4 linked regions of the Struthio camelus genome follow. The main gene of each other region encodes a partner of the protein of the gene in region 2 in a complex. Links are inferred from orthologs where the notes say so. Each region holds a gene or a part of one and is shown on either strand. Other genes may lie near its edges. The genes, in order: TIMM29, AGK, TIMM10B and TIMM10.

The links.
Region 1: the proteins of AGK (region 2) and TIMM29 are in contact, whole or in part, in a cryo-EM structure (PDB 7CGP), measured with the Homo sapiens proteins. The link is inferred for Struthio camelus from reciprocal best matches to the Homo sapiens genes AGK and TIMM29. Residues at the interface, in NP_060708.1 of Homo sapiens: His33, Asn36, Arg39, Arg40, Cys43, Gln44, Gln47, Asn51, Lys82, Pro86, His89, Leu90; in NP_612367.1 of Homo sapiens: Tyr145, Gln146, Cys149, Arg150, Tyr151, Leu152, Gln153, Arg155.
Region 3: AGK (region 2) and TIMM10B share a complex: the UniProt entries of both Homo sapiens proteins name them as parts of the TIM22 complex. The link is inferred for Struthio camelus from reciprocal best matches to the Homo sapiens genes AGK and TIMM10B.
Region 4: the proteins of AGK (region 2) and TIMM10 are in contact, whole or in part, in a cryo-EM structure (PDB 7CGP), measured with the Homo sapiens proteins. The link is inferred for Struthio camelus from reciprocal best matches to the Homo sapiens genes AGK and TIMM10. Residues at the interface, in NP_060708.1 of Homo sapiens: Phe49, Gly50, Asn51, Gln52, Leu53, Ile54, Pro55, Pro56, Val60, Ser91, Gly92, Met93, Asp94, Val95; in NP_036588.1 of Homo sapiens: Glu40, Glu42, Leu43, Ser44, Lys45, Gly46, Ser48, Arg53.

The regions. Positions count from the first base shown.
Region 1 is NC_090972.1:4,660,847-4,666,779, reverse strand, and holds TIMM29 (mitochondrial import inner membrane translocase subunit Tim29), read left to right. Parts: upstream 1-3,854; coding exon 3,855-3,957; intron 3,958-4,739; coding exon 4,740-5,374; 3' UTR 5,375-5,429; downstream 5,430-5,933. Other genes in the region: protein YIPF2, read right to left, coding at 628-640, 741-865, 956-1,138, 1,209-1,375, 1,468-1,584, 1,675-1,762, 1,840-1,920, 2,009-2,121 and 1 more. UniProt on the Homo sapiens protein: Component of the TIM22 complex, a complex that mediates the import and insertion of multi-pass transmembrane proteins into the mitochondrial inner membrane.
Region 2 is NC_090942.1:65,589,030-65,596,383, reverse strand, and holds the start of AGK (acylglycerol kinase, mitochondrial), read right to left. Parts: upstream 3,001-7,354; 5' UTR 2,831-3,000; coding exon 2,721-2,830; intron 1-2,720. UniProt on the Homo sapiens protein: Lipid kinase that can phosphorylate both monoacylglycerol and diacylglycerol to form lysophosphatidic acid (LPA) and phosphatidic acid (PA), respectively. Does not phosphorylate sphingosine. Phosphorylates ceramide.
Region 3 is NC_090942.1:225,139,818-225,146,582, forward strand, and holds TIMM10B (mitochondrial import inner membrane translocase subunit Tim10 B), read left to right. Parts: upstream 1-4,750; 5' UTR 4,751-4,841; coding exon 4,842-4,877; intron 4,878-5,562; coding exon 5,563-5,658; intron 5,659-5,828; coding exon 5,829-6,098; 3' UTR 6,099-6,246; downstream 6,247-6,765. Other genes in the region: ARFIP2 (arfaptin-2), read right to left, coding at 71-179, 379-477. UniProt on the Homo sapiens protein: Component of the TIM22 complex, a complex that mediates the import and insertion of multi-pass transmembrane proteins into the mitochondrial inner membrane.
Region 4 is NC_090946.1:7,516,369-7,522,728, forward strand, and holds TIMM10 (mitochondrial import inner membrane translocase subunit Tim10), read left to right. Parts: upstream 1-4,761; 5' UTR 4,762-4,868; coding exon 4,869-4,939; intron 4,940-5,577; coding exon 5,578-5,779; 3' UTR 5,780-5,849; downstream 5,850-6,360. Other genes in the region: SMTNL1 (smoothelin-like protein 1), read right to left, coding at 71-169, 707-740, 1,238-2,405.

The sequences.
Region 1 (5,933 bases), on a different chromosome or scaffold from region 2:
CCCGGCGGGCGTCGCGGGGGCATCTGTTATGGAAGGCTCCCTTGCGTGGCTGCACTAGGAAGTGTATTTGGTGTCTGTTAGCGTCCAGCACTCATAGCGTGAACTTTCCTTTCTCTTTTGTTTTCCTTTCGAAGGCCGCGAGCGGCGGTTTTTGGCAGGGGCGCGCAGGGACCCCGCTGCGGAGAGCGACCGTCTCCCCGGGGCCGTTCCCTTTGCCGCGGGCGGCCCCCAACCCCTCGCTGGGGCTGCGCCTTAGGAGTAGCGGATCTGCTGTTTTTCGGCTGTAGTACTGAATAAACGGGAGGGTTTCGAAGGTTCGCGCCCTGCTGCCTTTGATACCGCGTCCGCTCCCGGCCGGACCCCGTGTCCCCAGCCCCGGCGCGGCCCTTCCCCAGGCCCTCGGCTCCCAGCCGGAGACAACGCGGGTCGCCAGGCGGGGACAGCCCCGGGGTTTATTTCGGTCGCTGTTTGCATAGAGAAGAGTTGGGGACGGTGCTGGCCCGGCCCGGCACCCCGTCCGGAGGAGTCCCGCCGGGAACCGGGCTGTGCCGAGAGCCGCCGGCAGGGCAGAGCCGGCCGCGCCAGGCAGGAAAACGGCCGCGTCCTCGCGCGGGGGCTGGAGCCGCGTCACTGCCTCGAGCTGCGGGAAGAGCCGAGGGCCAGGCGAGGGTTTGGCCCCCCACCGGGGCCGTCCGCATCGAGCCGGGGGCTGCCTGCCCCGCTCGGGGTCCCCCTCTTACCTCGCCGGCTGGGAGAGGTTGGCGAAGTGGTGGGGCGCGCGGCTGTGGTGGGGCTCGGTCCCCAGCGTGGCGTGGAGCGGCGAGGGGGCCGGGCCGGCGCCCGGCGGCCGCTGGAAAAAATAAAGCTGGGAGGGAGAAAAAATAAAAGGAGGGAATGAGTGGGGGGGTCCGGCGTCCCCAGAGCGGCGCTCCCCCCGGCCCGCGGCGAGCGGTACCTTGCAGCAGACGGCGAGCAGGGCGTGCAGGGCGACGACGGCGGCCAGCAGGGCCAGGGCGGCCGCCCGGCCCTCGGCCCGCACCAGCGGCCAGAAGGTGAGCGCCAGCACCGAGGCCGAGAGCAGCGCGGCCACGGCCAGCAGCAGCCACTGCAGCCAGGCGGCCGGGATCAGCCACAGCACCTGCGGGGACGGCGGCGGCGTCAGCTCCGCTGGGGGACGCGGCCCCACCGCCGCCGCCCCGGGGACTCACCGCTGTGGGGATGTAGACGAAGAGCGAGTAGCCGTAGACGCAGACCGTCTCCAGGAAGCTGTAGGAGCTGCCGCGCGCCCCGGGGCCCCGCCGCCACCGCAGGTAGCCCCAGAGCGCCAGCGGCACCAGCCAGGCGTAGCAGTAGACGACGGTGGCGGCGATGGTGACTGCGGAGGGGACGGGACGGGGACAATGAAGGCAAAGCCCGGGCTGCCCCGTCCCCTTCCCCGCGTCCCCCCGCCAGCCCGGGGCCTCGCACCTTTGTGGAACTGGGGGCTGTAGTGGAAGGAGGGGGACGCCTGCTTCTCCGGCAGGTGGGACAAGTTGCCGCTGATGGCCAGGGCGAACACGAGGGTGGCGCAGATCCAGAAGGGCCCTGGGGAGGGGAAAGCGGGTGGGCGGTCGGCGAGGGGCCGGCCCCGGGGCGCCGGCAGGCGCCCGGCCAGCGGCAGCTCTGCCCTCTCACCGTACAGGTCGGGGTTGTTCCGCAAGCGGTGGCGCACAAAGTTCTTCCCCGGCAGCGGCGTCACGGAGCCCTTGATCCTGTCCAGCACCTGCCGGCGGGCGACGGCGTCTCAGAGGCGGCGGGCGCCGAGGAGCCGGGCCGTCCGGCCGCCGCGACCGCCGCTACCTGGTGGGTGTCGACGTCGAAGAAAGCCTGGTAATACTCGAAGGTCCAGAAGCTGCGCGGCTGCTGCTGCCCGCCCAGGAGCTGCGGGCGGAGGAAGGGCCGTGAGCGCGGGGCCGCGGCCGGGGGCCTCCGCTCCCCGTGGTGCCGGCGGCGGCGGCGGCTGCGTCACCTCGGCGCTGTCGGCGTCGGCCCCCGGCTCGCCCTCCTCGCAGCCGGGCCCCAGCTCCACGGCCGCGTGGCTCGGCCGCTCGCCCGCCGGCGGCTCCGCCGCCTCCTCGAGCTCTGCGCGGTGACGGTCGGCGTCAGGCGGCCGCGAGGGGCCCGGCGCCGCGGCGGGGGGGGCCGCGGCGGGGGGGCCCCGGCTCTGCCCCGACGTCGCGCCGGGACTCACCGTGAAACCGCAGCTCGGCGGACGCCGCCATGGCGGGGTCTCTCGCTGCGGGAGCGAGACGTGAGGCGGTTGGGGCGCCCCCCCCCCCCCACCAGCACCGGGACCCCCCCCCGGACCCCCCCCAGCATCCCAGGCCCAGTATCCCCAGGGCCCCCTCTGGCACCGGGACCCCCCCCCGGGCATCCCGGGCCCAGTATCCCCAGGACCCCCCAGCACCAGGACCCCCGGGACCCCCCCCGGAACCCTCCCGGCATCTCGGGCCTGGTATCCCCAGGGACCCCCCCAGTACCCCCCAGCATCCCGGGCCCAGTATCCCCAGGACCCCTCAGGCCCCCCCAGCACCGGGACCCCCCCGGACCCCCCCCAGCATCCCAGGCCCAGTATCCCCAGGGCCCCCTCTGGCACTGGGACCCCCCCACCGGCATCCCGGGCCCAGTATCCCCAGGACCCCCCAGCACCAGGACCCCCGGGACCCCCCCCCGGTACCCTCCCGGCATCTCGGGCCTGGTATCCCCAGGGACCCCCCAGCACCCGGACCCCCGGGACTCCCCCAGGACCCCGCAGCCCCCCCCGGCACCAGGACCCCCGGGACCCCCCCAGGACCCCCCAGCACCCCCCGGCACCAGGACCCCCGGGACCCCCCCCCGGAGCTCCCCCGGCATCCCGGGCCCGGTATCCCCAGGACCCCCCGGCACCGGGACCCCCGAGACCCCCCCCCAACATCCCGGGCCCGGTATCCCCAGGACCCCCCAGCACCAGGACCCCCGGGACCCTCCCCGGTACCCTCCCGGCATCTCGGGCCTGGTATCCCCAGGGACCCCCCTAGTACCCCCCAGCATCCCGGGCCCAGTATCCCCAGGACCCCTCAGGCCCCCCCAGCACCGGGACCCCCGGGACCCCCCCGGACCCCCCCCAGCATCCCAGGCCCAGTATCCCCAGGGCCCCCTCTGGCACCGGGACCGGCCCCCCCACCGGCATCCCGGGCCCAGTATCCCCAGGACCCCCCCCCCGGTACCCTCCCGGCATCTCGGGCTTGGTATCTCCAGGGACCCCCCAGCACCCCCCGGCACCAGGACCCCCGGGACCCCCCCAGGACCCCGCAGCCCCCCCCGGCACCAGGACCCCCGGGACCCCCCCCCCGGAGCTCCCCCGGCATCCCGGGCCCGGTATCCCCAGGATCCCCCCGGCACTGGGGCCTCCGGGACCCCCCTCCAGCATCCCGCGACTCCCAGGACCCCCCGGGACCGGCACCGCCTGGGTCAGGACCCGCCAGCCCCGCCGTGGGGCTGCACCGGGACCCCCATAACCCCCCCCGGGGACTCCTGGGCCTGGACCGGGACCCCCCGGCTCCTCCCGGTCCCCCCCCACCCCGGTTCCCCCCCCCCCCGGTACCCGGCCCGGCCCCGCGGACGTGGCTCCCCCCCCCCGCCGCCGCCGCCGCGATGGTTCCGCCCGGTCCGTCCCCGTGTCCGGCCCCCCCGGCCCCGCCCCCCCGCCGCGATGGTTCCGCCCGGTCCGTCCCCGTGTCCGGCCCCCCCGGCCCCGCCCCCCCGCCGTCATGGTTCCGCCCGGTCCGTCCCCGTGTCCGTCCCGGCCGGAGCCACTTCCGGCGCCGCTCGCGGCCATGGCGGCGGCGGGGGAGGCGGCGGCCCCGGCCCCGGCCCCGGCCCCGGCCCCGGCCCGGGGGAGCGGCGGGCTCTGGGCGCGCATCGCGGGGAGCCGCGCCGGTGAGGGCCGGGCTGGGGGGGTCCAAGGGGGCCCCGGACTCCTGGGACCTTTGGAGGGGGGGATTGGGGGGGTCCCCGGACTCCTGGGCCCATTGAAGGGGGGGGTTGGGGGGGGTCTGCCCGGACTCCTGGGCCCATTGAAGGGGGGGGTTGGGGGGGTCCCCGGACTCCTGGGCCCATTGAAGAGGGGGCTGGGGGGGGCTGCCCGGACTCCTGGGCCCATTGAAGGGGGGGGTTGGGGGGGGTCTGCCCGGACTCCTGGGCCCATTGAAGGGGGGGGTTGGGGGGGTCCCCGGACTCCTGGGCCCATTGAAGAGGGGGCTGGGGGGGGCTGCCCGGACTCCTGGGCCCATTGAAGGGGGGGGTTGGGGGGGTCCCCGGACTCCTGGGCCCATTGAAGAGGGGGCTGGGGGGGGCTGCCCAGACTCCTGGGCCCATTGAAGAGGGGGCTGGGGGGGGGCTGCCCGGACTCCTGGGCCCATTAAAGAGGGGGCTGGGGGGGGCTGCCCGGACTCCTGGGCCCATTGAAGAGGGGGCTGGGGGGCTGCCCGGACTCCTGGGCCCATTAAAGGGGGGGTTGGGGGGGCTGCCCGGACTCCTGGGCCCATTGAAGAGGGGGCTGGGGGGCTGCCCGGACTCCTGGGCCCATTAAAGGGGGGGTTGGGGGGGCTGCCCGGACTCCTGGGCCCATTGAAGAGGGGGTTATGGTGGTCCCCGGACTCCTGGGCCCAGGCTGGGGCAGGGGGGGCAGCCCCCTCCCCGCTGACGGCGCCTGGGCGCAGGGCGCTGGTGGCGGGCGCTGCTGCAGGACTACGCGGAGGCGGCGCGGGAGGCGGCGCGGGGGGCTCGGCGCCGGCCCGGCCGGGCTGCGGGCTGCCTGGCCCTGCTGGCCGGGGCGGCCGCCTGCGGCGCCGCCGTCCCCGGCGCCGGCTCCTTCGAGGCGGCTCTGCTGGAGGCCGCCGGCTCCCTGCTGCTCCTCTCGCCGTGGATCCGCAGCGGCGTCGCCGAGGGGCACGTGCAGCGCCTGCTGCGGCTGCGGGACCGGGGCCAGCTGCGCTACCGGAACCTCGTCTTCTTCGCCCTGGTCTACGAGGCGCCTTTCGACGCCCAGGCCGGCCTCTACCTGGCGCAGTGCCGCTACCTGCAGCCCCGCTGGCGCGAGCTCCCGGCCCGCGTCCTCGACGTGGGCTTCTGGGGACGCTGGTGGGTTCTGCGCGCCAAGATGAGGGACTGCGACATCAACGAGGAGGAGTTCAGGTTCCTGCCCGAGCACCTCCGCGCCGTCTCCTTCCACCACCTCCACTCCGAGGCCAACGAGAAGCTCTTCGAGGAGCGGTACCAGCCCGTCGTCCTGACGGAGGAGCAAATCGAGCGAGCGGAGAAGGAGCCGCCGCCGCCGGGCGCCGCGGGCCGGTGACTGAGCGACGCAGCGGCCGTTCGGCGCCGCTCAATAAAGGCGGCGGATGTCTCGACGCGCGCCGCCGCCTCCTTCGTGCCGCCTCGGCGGGGACGGCGCTTGGCGGGGCGAATGCGGCGCCCGGCGGCGGGAAGCGTCTCGGCCCCGCGCCCTCCGCCTCCATCCCTGCGCCGCTCCCGCGGGATGCGGCAGAGGGTGCTGCCGAGCTGCGAGACCTCCGCGTCCCGGCCCCGGCCGGCCGCGTCGCCGCCTGCCCCCCACCCGCCGCGGGCAGGGGGGCGCGGGGTCCCGCCGGCGAGGGTCTCGGGCGGCTCGCGCTCGCAGGAAACCTCCCTGCGGGACGCGGCCGAACCCCTCTTCCCCCCCCTAGGGAAACGCAGGGCGACGCTCGCACCGACCGCGCGCTGCGGGCGTTCGCCCCGGGCTGGGTTTGGGGCCTCGCTAGCGGCCCGGCGTCTCTCCGACGCCCCCCCGGGCTCCCCAGCGACCCCCTAACTATCGATTAACCCTTTATTGCGGCATCTGTCGTTCGCGCGTTGACTCCTCGTGGGATTATTCA
Region 2 (7,354 bases):
GTATTTTTGCACTCTTACCATCAGACTCTTCTGTTACCTCTCATTTTTCTATGCCTTGGCAGAAACAATCCTCTGCAGAGATCAAGAAATGGCTAAACAGTTGTCATTTTATACAAACAGTATTTAAACCTCTGAAAGCAGTACTTTACAGCTGTGCTTCAGGCAACATCAAATTACACAGAGCAGTATGTTGCCACAGGACTTCTTACCTTGCATCCTCTTGGCATGGTAAGGAAATGCTGTCTGGATAAAAGGCGAAACTTAATGGGATGTATAAACATGTTATTTTTTTACTTCATCTTCTGGGTTAAAGCACTGTGCCTACATTTGACACAAACAACCTCTGAGCACTTAAATTTAGATATCAAAAGTTCCATTTTTGTTTGTTTGTTTGGCTTTTATATTTTCCTCTTTATTCATTTTTGGTTTGACAGCATATCACCTACGGTAAGCTCCACTTTCTCCTTGATCAGAGACTTGTTGTCACAGGTCCTGCACAATGGGAACTACGTAGCACATGAATACAGCTGAAACCAGTATTAGGCACAGCATATAGGCACATAAACTTACAGAAAGAATAAAAAAAAAGGGAGGAAACTGGTTATGTCTGATGCTCCTGTGTCTCCTTAAGTGACCATTCTACATACGCACAAGGACCAGATTTAGTCTTTCGTTAAAGCTTTATTTCAGTAGCTCTCCACAGTACCCAGGTCTGAAATGCACTTTGTTCACTGTCATTAGTATCTGTGGCAACAGAAGACCAATAAGGAGGCAACTTACATAAGCAGGGTACATGGGAAGATCACAGGATGCTCTGACCTGCCAGCCAGCTTCTCCTATGAGTGCTCTTGAACAATTGCTTCCTCCTTGTTTTGTACATATATTTATGGCTGTTAAGTTTATTTCGGCTAAGAGGTATCTAGAATGATAGAGTTCCAAGTAATCACTTGGATACATTTTGCTACTTTATCTGAATTTAAAGTTCAAGTCTTTAGAAGTCTTTAGTGGACTGTAAGCTCAGAGCTTGACTGAGACTACAGGAAGGCACAGAAAAAAAAACCAAACAACCTGTTTAGTACAGATATTTCTGCTTACAACACAGCAGTACAATTCTTTTCTATGTTGGTCTATGTAGGCATATATGTGAAATCATGACCTCATTACTACCATTTTTGCTCGCCTGAAGTAATTCTCCATCCTATCTTAACCTACTCTACAATCAGCAATTACCAAAAAAAAAAAAAAAAAGGGTGGATAGAGAGTTTTTGCTGTTTGCCCACAGTCAACTGAGTCTTAATGCTTCAGGTAGGAAATAAACAGATGTATCCTTCAAAACAAAGACTCTGATTTAATGCTAAAGTCTCCAGGCAGAAGGAGATAAACAAAGAAGGAAAGTATAACACACCCCATAAGCAGTTTTATTTTCTTAAGTTTTCTGCTGAGGCTTGACAGCATTTTAATGCAAGTAGAAAAGAACACTGTTAAAAAATCCTGGCTTAACAGTTAAAAAGATACAAGGTGGTGACAGAAGATACAGTAGCAACAGAAAGAATAATTTTAAAAAATAATTTGACTATACTTGCATTTTGGTCAAGTATATTAACTCTAAGGGAGTTAAAAGAACAGAGATTAATATATAGGCCTAGCTATTTAAAAACTGTAAACTAAGATTTTGACTACTATAAGGAGCATTTCGTCCATGGATAACAAATGTAGAAATCATAGCTGACTATGTATGATTTATGTCACAATATAGTTACTGCAGTAATTGATGACTTTCTTCCAGTTCCACTGGTGACCGCAGCAGAGCATACACACAATAAAAGTCTGCACAGCTGCTGCCAACGCTGCGTGTCTCAGAAGACACAAGTTCTCATGGAGCAAAGATCTGGCCATCTTCGTGAAATATGACACTATTAGAAAAATAGAGATGGAAAAGCCCCTAGGCACATGACCACAATCCCATCACAACCTCCTTCTGTTTATGAAGCCAATTTCCATTCAGTCCCTAATGATTTGTATCAGTGGAATCATTTGCAGGTATAGGGCCTATATTTTCATTTATCATTACAATCTTGCTTAAAAGCAAGTAACCCAATGACATACATGTGGTTGACTGCATTTCTAAGTTAAAAGAGAAAAATCTGTCTACTCTCCAGTTGATCGAAAAATGACTCAAGCTGCTCTGACACGAAGTTTGTTTAAAGCAACTCTGACACAAGGTCTCTTCAAAGCTACCGCCTGGACTGGACCCAAACTCACAATAAGCCAACACTAACAGTCACAGGAAGAATTTAAGCCTTTTTAGGACCACAACTTGATGGAATGGCCACAGCAATCACCCCGAGGAGGCTCCTACACTTTGGAATGCATTTAAAAAGACAGATGAGCATTTCTCCACCAGGAAAGCCCCACTTTAACGGTCGTAGGGAAGGAAGGGAAGGGAAGACGGCCCCTGCTCTCTGGAAAGCTGAGAAGGCTGCGGCAAATCCCTTCCTCTTGAGGGGCCAGTGGCTTTTTAAGGAATATATATTTAAAAAAAACCACACACGCACACACGCACACACACACAGCCTCAGTGCCAGAAGGGCTGCAGTTCCCCCTGCACCTTCCCCAGGCTCTCGCTGGCGGGGGCAGCAGCCCCCGGCCTTGGGCGACCCCGGGGGGCGGGGGGGGGGGGGGGTCGCTCTACCCGCCCGGCCTCCCCCGGCGGTAGTTACCGGTGCTTGCCATAGAGCCAGCTGCCGCCCCAGGAGAGCAGGCAGGCCCCAACCGTCGTTTTCTTCCAGTGGTTCCTCAGGGCCTTGAGCGCGCTGACCACCCCGGCCATGGCGCCCCGCCTCGGCCGCTCGCGGCGACGAACCGTTTGGCGGCGGCAACGGCCACAGGGACCCGGCTCGGCTCGGCCCGGCCCGCGCGCGCCGCCCGCCCCGGCTGGAAACGGCTCCCCCGGCGCTCGCGTTCCGCGCAGCAACGGTCCCCCCTTCCCCCGCCCCCCACCACCGCAAACGCTACCCCAACGCCGCCCGCCGCAGTTAAAACGCGTCCCCCACCCGCACCCCGAGGCGTTAGGCCAGGCCGCTTGGGAGGGGGGTCGGGGCGACCCTGGCGGTGGCAGCAGCAGCGGCGTGTTTTGCCAGCCAGGGCCTGGGCCGCGTGCTGTGTCCTTGCACGGCCCCACACGTTTGCTAAGCGCCCTACCTTAAATATATATATATATATATATGTGTGTGTGTGTGTGTGTGTGTGTGTATGTATCCCCAAGGAAAAGTATTTTCATACCCGTGTTTGTGTCCTCGCAGTCTTTGCTCTTCACTTATCCTCCAACCCCCAACATGACCCGAAGCCCTCAGCACTGACGGCGTTCCTCAGCAAACCACCCCGCCGAAGCCTGGGCCACGCTGTGCCGCAGGTGCAGAAGAACAAGCGGTAACAATGAGGACAAAACAGAAATTTCTGGGTGCTTGGGCAGTACAAGCCGAGAAGTATTACCGGTCCGTCAAGAAAAAAATATTACTAGTACAGAGCTGCTCACCAAAAACACTAAGAAGCAGAAACTTGGACGAACACAGCCACCAGAAACAAAAGGAGCAGGTGACCTGCTGCATAGTAGAGGGCAAAAGTGAACAGGAGGTTTTTCACACCAATACAAATACCCAAGGTACAAGAAAATTACTGAAAATATTTCTGAAGATTCAGCTAACTGAATAGAATGGAAAGTTGTATAAGAAGGACTTGGGGTTTGAGCCCCACCAACTACGTGACCACATGCACCAGGATAAAAGTCTCCAACCGTCCATGGAAAACTGACCATCCCTGCAAGGAATCCATACAGTGAAAAGCAGAATGAATGTCCTGCAAGGGAAAGGCGTGGCAATGACAAAGTGACAAGACCTGACTTCATGATGGGATAAGCTTGTGGGCAATCCGGTGGCAACAGTCCATACTAGCATTAATGCCATGGCTTCATATAACGTCTCACAGGTTACAAACAGCCTCAGAGATTTCAGAAAAGTGCTGAATGGGAGGCATGTGTGATTAATACTCACAGAGATCCTTCCTGTCTTCACGAGAAAGCCAGACAGATGGTAGATCGTTCGAAATGAGCCATTGGCTAAATAATGGTGTAAGGAAGCATTCTGTTTCTGTAGAACATTGGCCCACTTTTGGCGGGGACAAAGGTTTACACACTTGGGATGACAAGGAAGCAGTCTGGAAGAGACCAACTGGTCAGTGTAATAAACTTAAGGCCAGACAGAATTTTTTTCTGATAATGTTTTTTCCCTCTTGTAAAATGCCATTTTCATCAAATTCTGAACATTTATAACAATGTCAAGATCAATAAAATGAATTTAACGTAAAAACTTCCCCAAATCCTTATGCTTAACGTTGTCAGAATTGGATGCGAGTAGTAACATAAGGGGGATGAGTGAGGCCAAACGTTGGAGTCTGGGTATGCAAAAGTCTGTTCTGCAAGAAATCAAGTTAATGCAGAAGACAGTCCGGAAGATATTCTGTTATTGGTGATAAGGAAAACAGATTGAAACCCATGGATTGGGTAGGGATTGGTTTCCCTACTTTTTTTTTTTTTAAGTAAAAGATTTGGGGCTTGTTTTCCGAAGGCAAAACGTTAAAAGATCAGCTGCTGATGAATATTTCAGCAGTGGTACCCTTATCCAGTTAAATATTTGGGTTCATCTGCACAGTTCATCTCAGTGTGCTAAGTACATACACTTGATGTGCTGCTGAATGTTCCAGGTGGTGTAGAATGATTAAATGTCCTACTTTTTCTTTTGTATTGGCCTACTTTTTGTGAGAATTCAGGTGGTGTGGCCAACTGCTAACAACAACAGCAACAAATATTAGGACTCTCATCCTACTTTCCTTAGCTTATGAAAAGATTGCGTGCTGATATATGCTTTTCAAATTCAGTAATTCTTATGAGGTGACACAAATAATTTACAAACATCTGTAACTTCCTCCTTCACAATCAAGTCTACAGAGTATAGTTGTGTTTATACTTATGTTTATTAAGACTCCTTCCAAAGCAAGCTTGAATTTTTAAAATAAAGTCTTTTTAGTATGTCAATACATGTTCAAAGTAGTCAAAAAAATGCTTAAAAGTATGAAGGGCCTGAATATCTCTGAGACAGCTGAATGGAAATTTACTTGAATTCATGTGCATGAAAATACATTTGAGTTAGTATGAATGAGAAATTTTAGCCCAAATATTCGTTGTCTTTCACCATTCCTAGCAGAGTTTGGAATCATATCATAATATTTTGTATGTATACTCGAGGTAATCCTTCAATTAGAGATCTCTCTCTCTAGAGTGACTGCACATGGAAGGCTAGGTCTAAGGTAGTATAAATCAGTTTACCTCAGCGATGCTGAGTGACGCTCCCCAGTACAAGACAGACATGGATGCACTGGGGTGAGTCCAGCAAAGAGCCATTAAGCTGATTATGGTTTTGAAGCATCTGACATATGAGAGGAGAGCTGGGATTGTTTAGTGTGGAGAAGATAAGGCTCGGGGGGATCTTACCAATGTGTATAAACAGCTGATCTGGGGGGAGTAAGGAAGATAGAGCCAGACTCTTCACAGTGGTATCCAGTGACAGGAAGAGAGGCAACGGGCACAAATTGACAGACACAAAATTCCATGCAAGCATAAGAAAAAACTTTTTTGCTGGGAGGGTGGTCAAACACTGCAACAGGTTGTCCAGAGAGGCTGTGGAGTCTCCGTGCCTGGAGATATTCAAGACCCAATTGGACACAGCCTGGAGTAGCCTGCTCTGGTTGACCCTGCTCTGAGCAGCAAGGTTGCACTAGAAGATCTCCAAAGGAGCTTTCTGACTTCATAGACCCTGATTCGGTGACTTTATCTGAGGATTTGGCCTGGGAATTTTGAGATGGCACTTTCTGAAGTGAACTACCCTTAAAAGAAACACTGTAGACAACAACAACAGATTGTGCACTTGTCTCATTATCTGGCTTTACTTACGATGCAGTGTCCATTCTAAAATCCCTCCTGGCAAACATGTATGTCCTAGTTTTTGGCTGTGGCCATCTGATCACCCTCAAGGTAGATCACACCCGCTGTTCATGTACCAGGTACTTCCTTTTTAGCTCTCCCGGTTCTTTGCAGGTGACGTCAATAGAAATGGATGTTAGAGTAGGCACAATGGAAAATGAGAGGGTAAACAGCTGATTTTGTACAACCTCTGGATTATATACTGTAGTCTTTTTTTTAGGCTAGGCAAAACAATTATTACCTTTTTCAGAAAACTGTTCAGAGGAGACTGATATGTGTTTTGTTTTCTTATGCTTACTAGATTGTTTGTGCAAAAGAAGCCAGCATTTAGCAAGCTGGCCCAGAAATCTAATACTTGAGTTGGGATATGTCACCTGAAATTATCACACAAGTTGTCTGTGAATACAGGTCAGTGCCTCATCCCAGTTACTCATATCTGACCCATTTTTGAAGGACAATTTTCTGTCATTCTGTCTGCACCACCAATGCCAAGTCTGTTAGCAGAAGAAGCCTCAGATACATGACCATGCCTCAGGGACTTATTTGTTTATAACTTAAGTGAAGTCACTTGCTTTACCAGCTGCCTATTTACTGAGTTCTCTTCTTAGCCAGAAAATATAGGAGAAATGATAGAAAGTTTATTTCTCTACGACATGGCAATGCCCTATAATTATGCATGCATAAATATTGGCAAGGACAGAGAATTATATAGTTTCTTTTTCTGTCCAGCACGGTCTGTCCTAAAATCTCCAAATCCGCTAACTCATCTGGGTTGGCAACCTTCTGTCATAGCCAGTCCTCTGGGAATGGGACTGAATTTATGTAATCATTTTACTGAAGTCACCAGTTGCATCCCTTGGTGTGGAATTTTGAGCCGGACCTTCCAAAACTTCCAAGAGAATCAGGAGCAGAAATCCCATTCACACCACTTCATACCAGCTGGGGCTTTATTCAAATTCAGGGTCTGAAAAGTAATTTCAGCCAGCTGGTCTGTAGGTAATCCTCATACAGTTGACTAGATTAAACCATCCTGCATCACCGATAGATTATATGCCAGCACTATACAAGGACAAAGGGGAGTGTCTTTGCATGATAGTAGCATGAAAGGAATGTGCGTGTTTGTACATAAGAGAAAAGGGCTTCCTCAGTTCCATGTAGCTGTTCTATCATCCTTACAGCAACAGAGAATTGAGATGCCTATGTCAGACAGCCAGTCTGCTGGATGTTCTTGCATTCATGACTTAGCTAAGGATGGGCTGAGAGTATCAGATAGCAAGGCTGTAATCTGCATCTCCTGCCCTAGTGGAGATCATACGTCTT
Region 3 (6,765 bases), about 160 Mb from region 2:
GGAGCAGCACTCATCTTTCCCCTGCTCCCCAAGCCCCATCTATGCAGACCTGCGTTGAGGCTCAACCTACCTTTGATGGCGCTGGTGGGGATGATGCCTTCAGCAGTGCCCCCATAGCCGCCAGACACAATGCTGGTTTCATTGAGGTTGGGCCCTGACACCATCACCTGCTGCAAGTCCTAGAACAGAGGAGTGCACAGAGCTGGGACAGAAACAGGGCATTTAGCCTCAGAGAGAAACACAGACCCAATGGAAAGACTGGGTCAGAGCTGGGAGAGTGCTAAGGCCCTGTCTGCCCCACAGCAGCCAGAAGAGCAACATCTGGGCTGTCTAGCATGTCACTGTCCTGACCCCTGCTGATGGGCCCCAGCCGCAAACCTGCTCCAAGCCGTCATCCTCCGGCAGGCTGCCCGTGTCCCCGTTGCTGCTGATGGGGATCTCCATGGTGGCAGCCTTGCTCATGATCCCGTCCGACATCGTCAGGGCCTGCAAGGACACAGATGCTCTGCTGGCAGCTGGAGGAACCCCGGGAACAGGCAGAGACGGCCACCACCCCTCAGGTGGACAGGGGTCCTGGGGTTTCAACATAGGAAAACACTGGGGCTTCTCAGCCCAGGATCCAGCAGGGCAAAAGACAAGGCCGAGCTGCACGGCACTGAACAGCAGCTAGCAGACACCAGGCAGCAGTTCCCTGTTACACTCACAGCAGGACTAGAAACTGCGCACACTGAGCAGTCCCCAGGGTCCACCCAGGTCCCACCACAGCAGCTAGTGCCTATCTGAGCGCAGGCGCTCCTCCAAGACAGCGGCCCCTCCAAACATGCCACCCTGGCCCTGCCAGCAGTTCCTCTGCTCCTAGAAAAGCTCCCGAAGAAGGCTGTGTGCCTTGCAGAAGACAGTCCCAGATCCCGCTCAGCATCCGGGAGCAGTAGCATTCAATTCCACCAGCCCATTGTGTATTGGGTTTTGGAGCATTTCCTCTGCCCTTCCATCAGTCCACGACTCTCACATTTCAGAAACAGGACAGTGCTTTCCCTTCCCCTCACCACTCTTTTGCAGCCAGTCCTGTCCCCGGGCTTGGGAGGCAGAGTCTGGCTGCCCCAGGGCAACCAGGACCTCACAGCACAGCAGCTGCTGGCCCAGAGCCTAGGAAAACAGAGCCAAGAGCCACGTCCACAGTCAGGCAGGGCTGCGCGTCAGAGGAGTGAGCAGTGGTTGGGCAGCAAAGAGCCCATCCACGAGGTGGGGGCAGGACCCAGGCAGAGGGGGCCACGAGCCAGGAACAAACCTTGCTGGAACAACGGGCTCTCTCGGGAGTGCTGTGCACAGACCGGTCGGAGCACATTCCAGTGCAGGCAGCGCCAGGCACCTGAGCACACCTCCGAGCCGAGCCCTTACGCTCCGAGCCCTTACGCTCCGTTAGCTCCCTGCTGCCTGACAGGGAAACAACACCTAGAAGAACTGGACACCACAGGAAAGGGCTCCAGCATGGATGAAACGTGCATGCAGAGGACACAGCCTCCAACCACATTCCTCCACCATGCTGTCATGTGAAATGGCTACACAGCGAAAGCTGTACCGTATAGCTCATATCTAGTGGTCTCTGCACCTGCCCTCAGGTTGTAGCTCAGAACAGCCCTCAAACAGTGACCATGGCTCCTGCTCCAGAGCCTGCTCCAGAGCAGGGAAACTACAGCTTGGGAAGAGAAACAACTCACAGTCAACTAACGGCAGAGGCAAAGGCAGAGAGCGGACCCAGCAGTCCTGATTGCCCTGCAGCTGTAGGCAGGACGCTCCACCTGGGTGGCACCCACCCCTCGCTGCGGCAGCCAGGGCCTGAGGCCAGGCAGCACCAGGTAAGCACAATGGTTCCAGTCACGCAGGGACCCACCAGCACTGGCACTTGCTCTTTGACAAGAGCTCTATAGATCTGGTCCCATATCAAAAACAGTGGGAGTCACCACTGACCCTAGCAGCAACCCAACACGAACACGCCTTAGCAAGTACAGGGAGCAGGATACGAAGGGCAGAACACGCAACTCCAGCAGTACTCCCTGATCTCTCTGAGCCAAACCTCTACCTGCAACATGGCCTGGGCCCTGGGAAACTCCCAGCCCTGTGGGCTTCCCTTGAGCAGGCAGTCGCTCTGTTCTGGAGGGGCTGCAGCGCCAGGGAAAGACAACACCACCCAACAGCACCTGGCACTGGGCTCTCCCCTGGGTGAATGGGGTGGCCGTGGCCCCACAGACACATCCCCAGCCCCCTCCTGAAGCGGGGCACCATCTCCTGGCCCCAGTGGGCAGCAGGGACAGATGTAACGCGCAGCAGCACCCAGCTGTGGTGCCCTCAGCCGTGCCGCTAGCACAGCGGCCCCCGAGGTCAGCCCTGATTGCCCTGGAGGCACTTGCTGTTTCAGGCAGGCATCTGCCATGCCTTCACGCTGCAGTTCCCAGCACGGAGCCCCACGCACCAGCGGTGCACACAACCCCACCACTCCCCCACCCGCACCCCCTGTCCACAGGCACCCAGCGCCCCCCGCTCCCCCACCCGCACCCCCTGTCCACAGGCACCCAGCGCCCCCCGCTCCCCCTGTCCACGGGCACACAGCGCCCCCCGCTCCCCCCGCTCCCCCACCCCCTGTCCACGGGCACACAGCGCCCCCCGCTCCCCCACCCCCTGTCCACGGGCACACAGCACCCCCCGCTCCCCCACCCCCTGTCCACGGGCACACAGCACCCCCCGCTCCCCCCACTCCCCCACCCGCACCCCCTGTCCACGGGCACACAGCACCCCCCGCTCCCCCTGTCCACGGGCACCCAGCGCCCCCCGCTCCCCCACCCCCTGTCCACGGGCACACAGCGCCCCCCGCTCCCCCTGTCCACGGGCACACAGCACCCCCCGCTCCCCCACCCGCACCTCCTGTCCACGGGCACACAGCACCCCCCGCTCCCCCCACTCTCCCACCCCGCAGCCCCTGTCCACGGGCACACAGCACCCCCCGCTCCCCCCACTCCCCCACCCCGCAGCCCCTGTCCACGGGCACACAGCGCCCCCCGCTCCCCCACCCGCACCCCCTGTCCACGGGCACACAGCACCCCCCGCTCCCCCTGTCCACGGGCACCCAGCGCCCCCCGCTCCCCCACCCCCTGTCCACGGGCACACAGCGCCCCCCGCTCCCCCTGTCCACGGGCACACAGCACCCCCCGCTCCCCCACCCGCACCTCCTGTCCACGGGCACACAGCACCCCCCGCTCCCCCCACTCTCCCACCCCGCAGCCCCTGTCCACGGGCACACAGCACCCCCCGCTCCCCCCACTCCCCCACCCCGCAGCCCCTGTCCACGGGCACACAGCACCCCCCGCTCCCCCACCCGCACCCCCTGTCCACGGGCACACAGCACCCCCCGCTCCCCCCACTCTCCCACCCCGCAGCCCCTGTCCACGGGCACCCAGCACCCCCCGCTCCCCCCACTCCCCCACCCCGCAGCCCCTGTCCACGGGCACCCAGCACCCCCCGCTCCCCCCACTCTCCCACCCCGCACCCCCTGTCCACGGGCACACAGCACCCCCCGCTCCCCCCACTCTCCCACCCCGCAGCCCCTGTCCACGGGCACACAGCACCCCCCGCTCCCCCCACTCCCCCACCCCGCAGCCCCTGTCCACGGGCATACAGCACCCCCCGCTCCCCCACCCGCACCCCCTGTCCACGGGCACACAGCACCCCCCGCTCCCCCCACTCTCCCACCCCGCAGCCCCTGTCCACGGGCACCCAGCACCCCCCGCTCCCCCCACTCCCCCACCCCGCAGCCCCTGTCCACGGGCACACAGCGCCCCCCGCTCCCCCCACTCCCCCACCCGCAGCCCCTGTCCACGGGCACCCAGCACCCCCCGCTCCCCCCACTCCCCCACCCCGCAGCCCCTGTCCACGGGCACACAGCGCCCCCCGCTCCCCCCACTCCCCCACCCCGCAGCCCCTGTCCACGGGCACACAGCGCCCCCCGCTCCCCCCACTCCCCCACCCGCTCCCCCTGTCCACGGGCACACAGCGCCCCCCGCTCCCCCCGCTCCCCCACCCGCTCCCCCTGTCCACGGGCACACAGCTCCCCCCGCTCCCCCCGCTCCCCCACCCGCACCCCCTGTCCACAGGCACCCAGCGCCCCCCGCTCCCCCTGTCCACGGGCACCCAGCGCCCCCCGCTCCCCCACCCCCTGTCCACGGGCACACAGCGCCCCCCGCTCCCCCCACTCCCCCACCCGCACCCCCCGTCCACGGGCACACAGCGCCCCCCACTCCCCCACCCGCACCCCCTGTCCACGGGCACACAGCGCCCCCCGCTCCCCCCACTCCCCCACCCCCTGTCCACGGGCACACAGCGCCCCCCGCTCCCCCCACTCCCCCCCCCGCACCCCCTGTCCACGAGCACACAGCGCCCCCCGCCCCCAGGTCCCGGCCCCCGGCTCCCCCAGGCCCCAGGCCCCAGGCCCCAGGCCCCAGGCCCCAGGCCCCAGGCCCCAGGCCCAGGCCCCAGGCCCCGCCGCCCACCTGCGCCGCCCCGGCCGCTGCCGGGTCCCCCCGCCCCGGAGGCGCCGGAGCCCCGATCCGCCTCGGCCCCGGCACACACCGGAACCGACGTCACACCCCGGGCAGGGGACGCCGGGAGGCAGGGCGGAAGTGGCGTCACCAGGGGGCGACCGGGAACAGCGCCGGGCGGAACAGGGCCGGAAATGGCCTGATCCCCGGAAGCGGCGGCCCCAAGAGGAACGGCGCTTCCGAAAACACCGGAGGTGACAGGCGCGACCGGAAGTTGTGTCATTGCTCCTGGCCGGAAGTGCCTGTGCGGGCATGGAGCAGAGCGGGGAGCAGCAGCAGCTCCGCAGCGTGAGGGGGGCCGGGGCCGGGGCCGGGGCCGGGGCCGGGGCCGGGTGGGGCCTGGGGCGCTGCGGGGCTGCAGGAGCTCGGCCGGGGGCCCGGGGAGTGGCAAGGCCCAGGGCGCTGGGGGGCTCGGTGGGGCCACGAGATGCTCAGGGGGTTGGTGGGGACCCCGGGGCGCTCGAGTGCTGGGCGGGGACCCCGAGATGCTCAGGGTGTTGGTGGGGACCCCGGGGTTCTCGGGTGCTGGGTGGGGACCCCGAGATGCTCAGGGGGTTGGTGGGGACCCCGGGGCGCTCGAGTGCTGGGCGGGGACCCCGAGATGCTCAGGGGGTTGGTGGGGACCCCGGGGCGCTCGAGTGCTGGGCGGGGACCCCGAGATGCTCAGGGTGTTGGTGGGGACCCCGGGGTGCTCGGGTGCTGGGCGGGGACCCCGAGATGCTCAGGGGGTTGGTGGGGACCCCGGGGCGCTCGGGGGCTCGGTGGGGACCCCGAGATGCTCAGGGGGTTGGTGGGGACCCCGGGGCGCTCGGGGGCTGGGTGGGGACCCCGAGATGCTCAGGGGGTTGGTGGGGACCCCGGGGCGCTCGAGTGCTGGGCGGGGACCCCGAGATGCTCAGGGGGTTGGTGGGGGCCTGGGACACTGGCAGACCCTGAGCAGGGTGAGCGTGCACCAGCGCTGTTGCTCTTCCAGCTGCGGGACTTCCTGCTGGTCTACAACCGGATGACTGAACTCTGCTTCCGGCGCTGCGTCTCCAACCTGAACTACCGCGTGCTCACCAAGCATGAGGTGAGCCCAGCGTTGGGCCTTTCTCGGGCGGCTGGAGCACCGCAGGTCTTGCAGTGCTGGTTTCCTGCTCGCGTCACAGCACTGGATGGGCTGGAGGGGCTGTGGGGAGAGGCAGCGCGTGCCCCTGATGAGGAGCCCGCCTGCCGTGCTGACACCTCGCCATCCTGCAGGAGATGTGCCTGGACAGCTGTGCTGGAAAACTGGTCCACTCCAACCACCGCCTCATGAGTGCCTATGTGGCGCTTATGCCCTCCATTGTGCAGCGCCGTGCCTCGGACTACGAGGCCAGTGCAGCCCAGACGTCTGCAAATTCTGCCAAGGAAGTATCAGTGGCACCGCCTGCCCTCCCAGGTACTGGGGGCCCTGATGCCCAGCCTGACTTGCAGGTGGCTTCTGGCATTGGTGGAGCCACAGAAGGAGCCTCAGATGCTGGCACATAGCACAGCTGTAACTCCTGGGCCCTGCCTTCTCACAGCAGTGGTGGGATGGATGGTTGCAGGCTGGATCTGGGCCCTGTGTTACCAGTGTGAGAAGTAACTTGTGGGCAGTGCAGTGAGATCTGGGCCTCCACACGCTGTTGCTACTGCTAGTCTGGAGCGGTAGAATCCTCTCTGCACCAACACCAGACCTTGCAGGTCCACATCCTCTAATGCATCTGCATTACGAACAGCCTCCTGACATCGGCCACATCCGTTCAGTGTCTGGTGGCGCTGGGGCTGAGACCGACGGCTGGCACTGAAGGCAGTAAGGGAGAAAACTAGTGCTGCGGTTCTGGCCAAGAGGGCTCTTAGCTGAACTCTTTTGTCTTAACAACAAAGCTCCTTTGGTGCTGCAGAGTTGGAGCTTTTCTACTGCTGGGAAGGTGTTTCCCGGTCCTAATAAAAGAGTCATCGCGAATGTCGGGCTGTGGGCGTGCGGCGGGGCGAGCAGACCTCGAGCGCTGGCGCGCTGCGCCCGGCGGGGGGGACGGTCCCTGCCGCAGGGGCGGGGCGGGGGCTGCGCGCCCGGCCCCCTCCTCTGTCCCCGCCTCGGCCCGTGGTGTCGAAGAAGGGGCGGGGCCAGGCGCAGGGCGGAGCCCGCGGGGTGGGGCAAGGGGCGGGGCAGAGC
Region 4 (6,360 bases), on a different chromosome or scaffold from region 2:
TTGGCCGGCAGCCCCCCCGGCGGCTCCCCATTGGTGCCCCGTGGGCCCCCCGCACCCCAGCCCCACTCACCCTCCGAACTTCTCCAGGATGGCGCTGCGCCCCTGCGCCCGGGTGCCCACCGGCACCCGCCCCCCGACCCGGTGCCCCGGCGCCCCCCCGGCTGCCCCCCTGTGGGCACAGAGCCAGCGTGGGGTGGGGGGCATGGGGCGGGGGGACCAGGGGTGATAGCCAGGGGGTATGGCAGGGGGATGCCAGCCATGGGGCATGGGGCCATGGGGTGCAGGTCATGGGGTGGCAGCCGTGGGGTGGCAGCCGTTGGGCATGGGGCCATGGGGCGCAGGCCATGGGGTGGCAGCTGTGGGGTGGCAGCTGTCGGGCATGGGGCCATGGGACACAGGCCATGGGGTAGCAGCCGTGGGGTGGCAGCTGTCAGGCATGGGGCCATGGGGCGCAGGCTGTGGGGTGGCAGCTGTGGGGCACAGGTCATGGGGTGGCAGCCGTGGGGTGGCAGCCGTCGGGCATGGGGCCATGGGGTGCCAGCCATGGGGCACAGGCCGTGGGATGGTGGCCGTGTGGCTTGGGGTCACGGGGCGCAGGCCATGGGGTGCCAGGCGTGGGGCAGCCAGGTCGCGGGGTGCAGGTGCTGGGCATGGGTGCCGCGGTTGGGGGGGTGGGGGGCAGCCGGGGGGCCCGGCCCACGCTCACCTCTGCCGGCCCCCCGAGCCCGCGACGGCGCCAGCTGTGGGGAGAGCAGAGGGGTCGGGGGCGCCCGGGGGGGGGAACGGGGCAGCTCTAGGGCATCCCGGGGGGATGTGGGAGCTATAGGGCATCCCGGGGGAGATGGGGGTCCCGGGGGGGTGGAACGGGGCAGCTATAGGAGATCCTGGGGGAACGGGGGTCCTGGGTGGGCAGGTGGGTTGGGGCAGCTATAGGGGATCCCAGGGGGATGGCAGAGCTATAGGGGACCCCGGGGGCATGGGGCAGCTATAGGGCATCCCAGGGGGACAGGGGAACTATAGGGGATCCCAGGGGGATAGCGGAGCTATAGGGGATCCCAGGGGCATGGGGCAGCTATAGGGGATCCTATAGGGGGATGGTAGAGCTATAGGGGACCCCTGGGGGCGTGGGGCAGCTATAGGGGATCCCAGGGGGGTGGTGGAGCTATAGGGGACCCCTGGGGGGGATCGTACGGGGCCCCCGGAGGTGCGGTGCCCTCCCTGGCAGCCCGGCACTCACCGGTGGGGGCGGTGGGGGCCGCAGGAGAGGTGGGCGACACGGGGGACGCCGGGGGGGACGTGGGGCTGGCGGGCCCGAACTCGGGCCACAGCTCGTCGTCCTCGTCCTGCTGCCACGTGGGGCCCTGCTGGCCCGGGGGGGGCTCGGCCGCCGCCCCGGCCCCCCGCTGCGCTGCCCCGGCCTCCATCCCAGCCCCGGCCTCCCTCCCCGCAGCCTCTGCTGTCCCGGCCTCCCTCCCAGCAGCCTCTGCTGTCCCGGCCTCGCTCCCAGCAGCCTCTGCTGTCCTGGCCTCGCTCCCAGCAGCCTCTGCTCCTTTAGCCTCCCTCCCAGCAGCCTCTGCTGTCCCGGCCTCGCTCCCAGCAGCCTCTGCTCCTTTAGCCTCCCTCCCAGCAGCCTCTGCTGCCTCGGCCTCCCTCCCAGCAGCCTCTGCTCCCTTCGCCTCGCTCCCAGCAGCCTCTGCTCCTTTAGCCTCCCTCCCAGCAGCCTCTGCTGTCCCGGCCTCGCTCCCAGCAGCCTCTGCTCCTTTAGCCTCCCTCCCAGCAGCCTCTGCTGCCTCGGCCTCCCTCCCAGCAGCCTCTGCTCCCTTCGCCTCGCTCCCAGCAGCCTCTGCTCCTTTAGCCTCCCTCCCAGCAGCCTCTGCTGCCTCGGCCTCGCTCCCAGCAGCCTCTGCTCCTTTAGCCTCGCTCCCAGCAGCCTCTGCTCCTTTAGCCTCCCTCCCAGCAGCCTCTGCTCCATTCGCCTTGCTCCCAGCAGCCTCTGCTGCCTCGGCCTCCCTCCCAGCAGCCTCTGCTCCCTTCGCCTCGCTCCCAGCAGCCTCTGCTCCTTTAGCCTCCCTCCCAGGATCCTTTGCTGCCTCAGCCTCACTCCCAGCAGCCTCTGCTCCCTTCGCCTCCCTCCCAGCAGCCTCTGCTGCCCCGGCCTCCCTCCCAGCAGCCTCTGCTGCCTTCACCTCACTCCCAGCAGCCTCTGCTGCCTCGGCCTCGCTCCCAGGATCCTTTGCTGCCTCGGCCTTGCCCCCCGCCACCCCATCCGCCCCCGCCGTGGGCCCCCCCGCAGCAGTGCCCCCCTCCTGCCCCTCAGGCCCCCCCCCCGCAGCAGGCGGCAGCGCCGTGGGGCAGGCGGGGGGCTCGGGGGCAGCGGGCGGCCGGGCAGCTCCCTCGGGCTCCATGTCTGCGACGGCAGCACCGGGGGGGCCGTGCCAGGGGGCTGAGCGGGGCGAAAAGCCCCGGCCAGGTGCCTTCCCCCGTGGCACCCCACGGCGGGCCCCGCCCCACGGCCCCCAGCCCCAAGCGGTGCCCCACAGCAGCCCCCATGCCACAACCCCCAGCCCCATGCAGTGCCCCACAGTGGCCCCAGACCCCCAGCCCCAAGCAGTGCCCCACAGCAGCCCCTGCCTCACGGCCCCAAGTGGTGCCCCACAGCAGCCCCCACCCCACGGCCCCAAGTGGTGCCCAAAGGCAGCCCCTGCCCCACAGCCCCAAGCGGCGCCCCCCCGGTAGCCCCTGCCCCACGGCCCCAAGCGATGCCCCACAGCAGCCCCTGCCCCATGGCCCCAAGCAGTGCCCCATGGCAGCCCCTGCTCCATAGCTCCCAGCCCCAAGCAGTGCCCCACAGCAGCCCCTGCCCTACAGCCCCAAGCGGCACCCCATGGCAGCCCCTGCCCCCCGGCCCCAAGCGGTGCCCCCCAGCAGCCCCCACCCCCCGGCCCCAAGCGGTGCCCCACGGCAGCCCCCACCCCCCGGCCCCAAGCGGTGCCCCATGGCAGCCCCCACCCCACAGCCCCAAGCGGTGCCCCACGGCAGCCCCCACCCCACAGCCCCAAGCAGTGCCCCATGGCAGCCCCCACCCCACGGCCCCCAGCCCCCAGCGGTGCCCCCCGGCCGCTGCCCTCAGTGCCCCCCACTGCCGGCCCCACTCACCGGTGCTGGCGCCGCGGCCGGCCCCACTCGCTGCCTATTTTTACCCGGCGGAACAGGTGCCCCTTTCATGCAGGCCGGGGGGGGGCCGGGCTGGGGCCCGCGGGGACAGGCAGGGACATGGGGCACGCGGGGGGACAGGCGTGCGGGGAGCTGGCCGGGCCCGGGGTCGCCCACGCGGGCCCGGGACAGGGACGTGGCGGGGGCGCCCGGCTGCGGGGACACAGGGACGAAGGGACGAGGTGGGGGGGGCAGGCGCGTACGGGGGACAGGGGGGACAAGGGGGGATGAGGGGGACAGGGACCACCCCCCATACAGAGCCATGGGGACATAGGGGGTCATGGGGGAATGGGGGGGGGGACAGGAACCCTCCCACAGGGCCGTGGGGACATGGGGGGACAGGGACCCCCCCCCAGGGCCATGGGGACATGGCGGACATGGGGGGACAGGGACCCCCCCCCAGGGCCATGGGGACAAGGGGGGACAGGGAACTCCCCCCAGGGCCATGGGGACAAGGGGGGACAGGGACCCCCCCCCAGGGCCATGGGGACATGGCGGACATGGGGGGACAGGGACCCCCCCCAGGGCCATGGGGACAAGGGGGGACAGGGAACTCCCCACAGGGCCATGGGGACAAGGGGGGACAGGGAACTCCCCCCAGGGCCATGGGGACATGGGGGACATGGGGGGACAGGGACCCCCCCCAGGGCCATGGGGACAAGGGGGGACAGGGACCCCCCCCAGGGCCATGGGGACATGGCGGACATGGGGGGACAGGGAACTCCCCACAGGGCCATGGGGACATGGGGGGACAGGGACCCCCCCCCCAGGGCCATGGGGACAAGGGGGGACAGGGAACTCCCCCCAGGGCCATGGGGACATGGCGGACATGGGGGGACAGGGAACTCCCCACAGGGCCATGGGGACAAGGGGGAACAGGGACCCCCCCAGGGCCATGGGGACATGGCGGACATGGGGGGACAGGGACCTCCCCCCAGGGCCATGGGGACACACGGGGATGGGGGGTACAGGAACCCCCCCCCTGCAAGGCCATGGGGACTCGGGGGGACAGGGGAGGACAGGGAACCCCCCCACAGGGTCATAGGGACATGGGGGACATGGGAGGGACAGGGACACCCCCATAGAGCCATGCAGAAGGGGGGACATGAGGGGACCCCCCATGGGGCCGTGGGGACGCAAGGGGACGGGGGGGGACTGAGACCCCCCACAGGACCGTGGGGACACAGAGGGGACGGGGGGGGACTGAGACCCCCCCCCACGGGGCCGGGGGGGGCCGGGGCTCCCCGGACAGGCCCACGGGGCCGGGAGGACTCCGCGGAGGGGGCGGGGCCCAGCCGCGAGGGGGCGGGGCGCGCCTTCGCCAATCCCGCCCGCTGCTGCTCTGGCTCCGCCCCCTTCGGCGGGCAGCGCGAGCGTCCTCTCTATCCGCCGCCCTCACCGTCCCCCCCCCCCCGCCCCGCAACCCCGCTCCCTCTCTATGGCTGCCCCGCGCCGTCCCGCCCCCTCCTCCCGGCCCGCCCTATCCGCGTTGGGGGCTGAGCCCCTGCCCTCTCCGCGCCTGGCTCCTATTGGCTCCGCCGCGAGGCGGGGCGGTCCCGTGCCGGGGCGGAAGCGCGCGCGCGCGCCCCCACGTGGTTCCGGCCGGCAGCCGCCGCCGCCGCGGGGTGGTCGTGCCCGTGCCCGTGCCCGGCGCCATGGACCCGATGCGGGCCCAGCAGCTGGCGGCCGAGCTGGAGGTGGACATGATGGCCGACATGTACAACCGGTGGGGACCAGCGGGGCACTGGGCGGCGCTGGGGGACAGGGGGAGGAGCCCGGGGCTGGGGGGGCGTTGGGGGGTGCTGGGGGGCACGGGGGGTATTGGGGGGCTGGGGGTGGCTGGGGGAATGGGGGGCGCTAGGGGGCACGGGGGGCATTGGGCTGGGGGGTGCTGGGTGCTGTGGGACATTGGGGGTGCTGGGGGGCATGGGGGGTGTTGGGGAACATTGGGGGTGCTGGGGGGCATTGGGGGGCTGGGGGGTGCTGGGTGCTGTGGGACATTGGGGGTGCTGGGGGGCATGGGGGGGCTGGGGGGTGCTGGGTGCTGTGGGACGTTGGGGGGTGCTGGGGGGCATGGGGGGTGCCGAGGGCTGTGGGACACTGGGGGGTGTTGGGGTGCTGTGGGACATTGGGGGGGGTATGGGGGGCATTGGGGTGCTAGGGGGCACGGGGGGTGCTGGGGGGCATTGGGGGTGCCGTGGAACATTGAGGGGTGCTGGGGGGCATGGGGGACACTGGGGGGCATTGGAGGGTACTGGGGGGCACGGGAGGTGCTGAGGGCTGTGGGACATTGGGAGGTACTTTAGGGGGTGCCGGGAGGCGCTGGGGGCTCGGGGGACGCCCGGGTGACGGGTGCCGGCGCAGGATGACCCACGCGTGCCACCGGAAGTGCGTGCCCCCCCACTACAAGGACGCCGAGCTGTCCAAGGGCGAGAGCGTGTGCCTGGACCGCTGCGTGGCCAAGTACCTCGACGTCCACGAGAGGATGGGCAAGAAGCTGACGGAGCTGTCGCTGCAGGACGAGGAGCTCCTCAAGCGCATGCAGCAGGGCTCCGGCACCGCCTGAGCCGCCGGTGGGACACCCGCCCGGGACACCCTCTCCCCGCCACCCCAATAAACCCAGGTGTTTCGGAGCACCCTCGGCTCGCCGCGGCGTCACTCCGGGACGCGGGTACCACTGCAGGGCAGCGAGGCTCGGAGCCGGGGCGGCGGCGGGGGGATTCGCTTGTGGCTCGCAGGGGGTCGTGCGCACCCCAGCCGGGGGGGTGGCAGGGGAAGAGGTCTTTTCCTCGACCCCCTGAATCGGGATGAGCGGTGGTGCTGCCCTGGCTGTCCCCTGCTGTCCCCTGCTGTGTCCTTGCAGGGTGCACCCCTGGGTGCCCCCGCCCCGCCCCGGGCCCAGCCCTTATAATCCCCGGGATTAGGCAGAGCTGGCCTGAGCCCCATAATCCCCCGTAGGGTGGGCGCAGGGCGCTGTCTGAGCCGGCCCCGCTGGCCTGCAGGGACAGCCGGAGAGAGACACCCCCTGGGGACACCTGCGGGGACAGGCGCAGGGACAGCCGGAGAGAGACACCCCCTGGGGACACCCGGAAAGAGACACCACCCAGGGACACCTGCACAGAAGCAGCCCAGAGGTGCGTGTGTGCA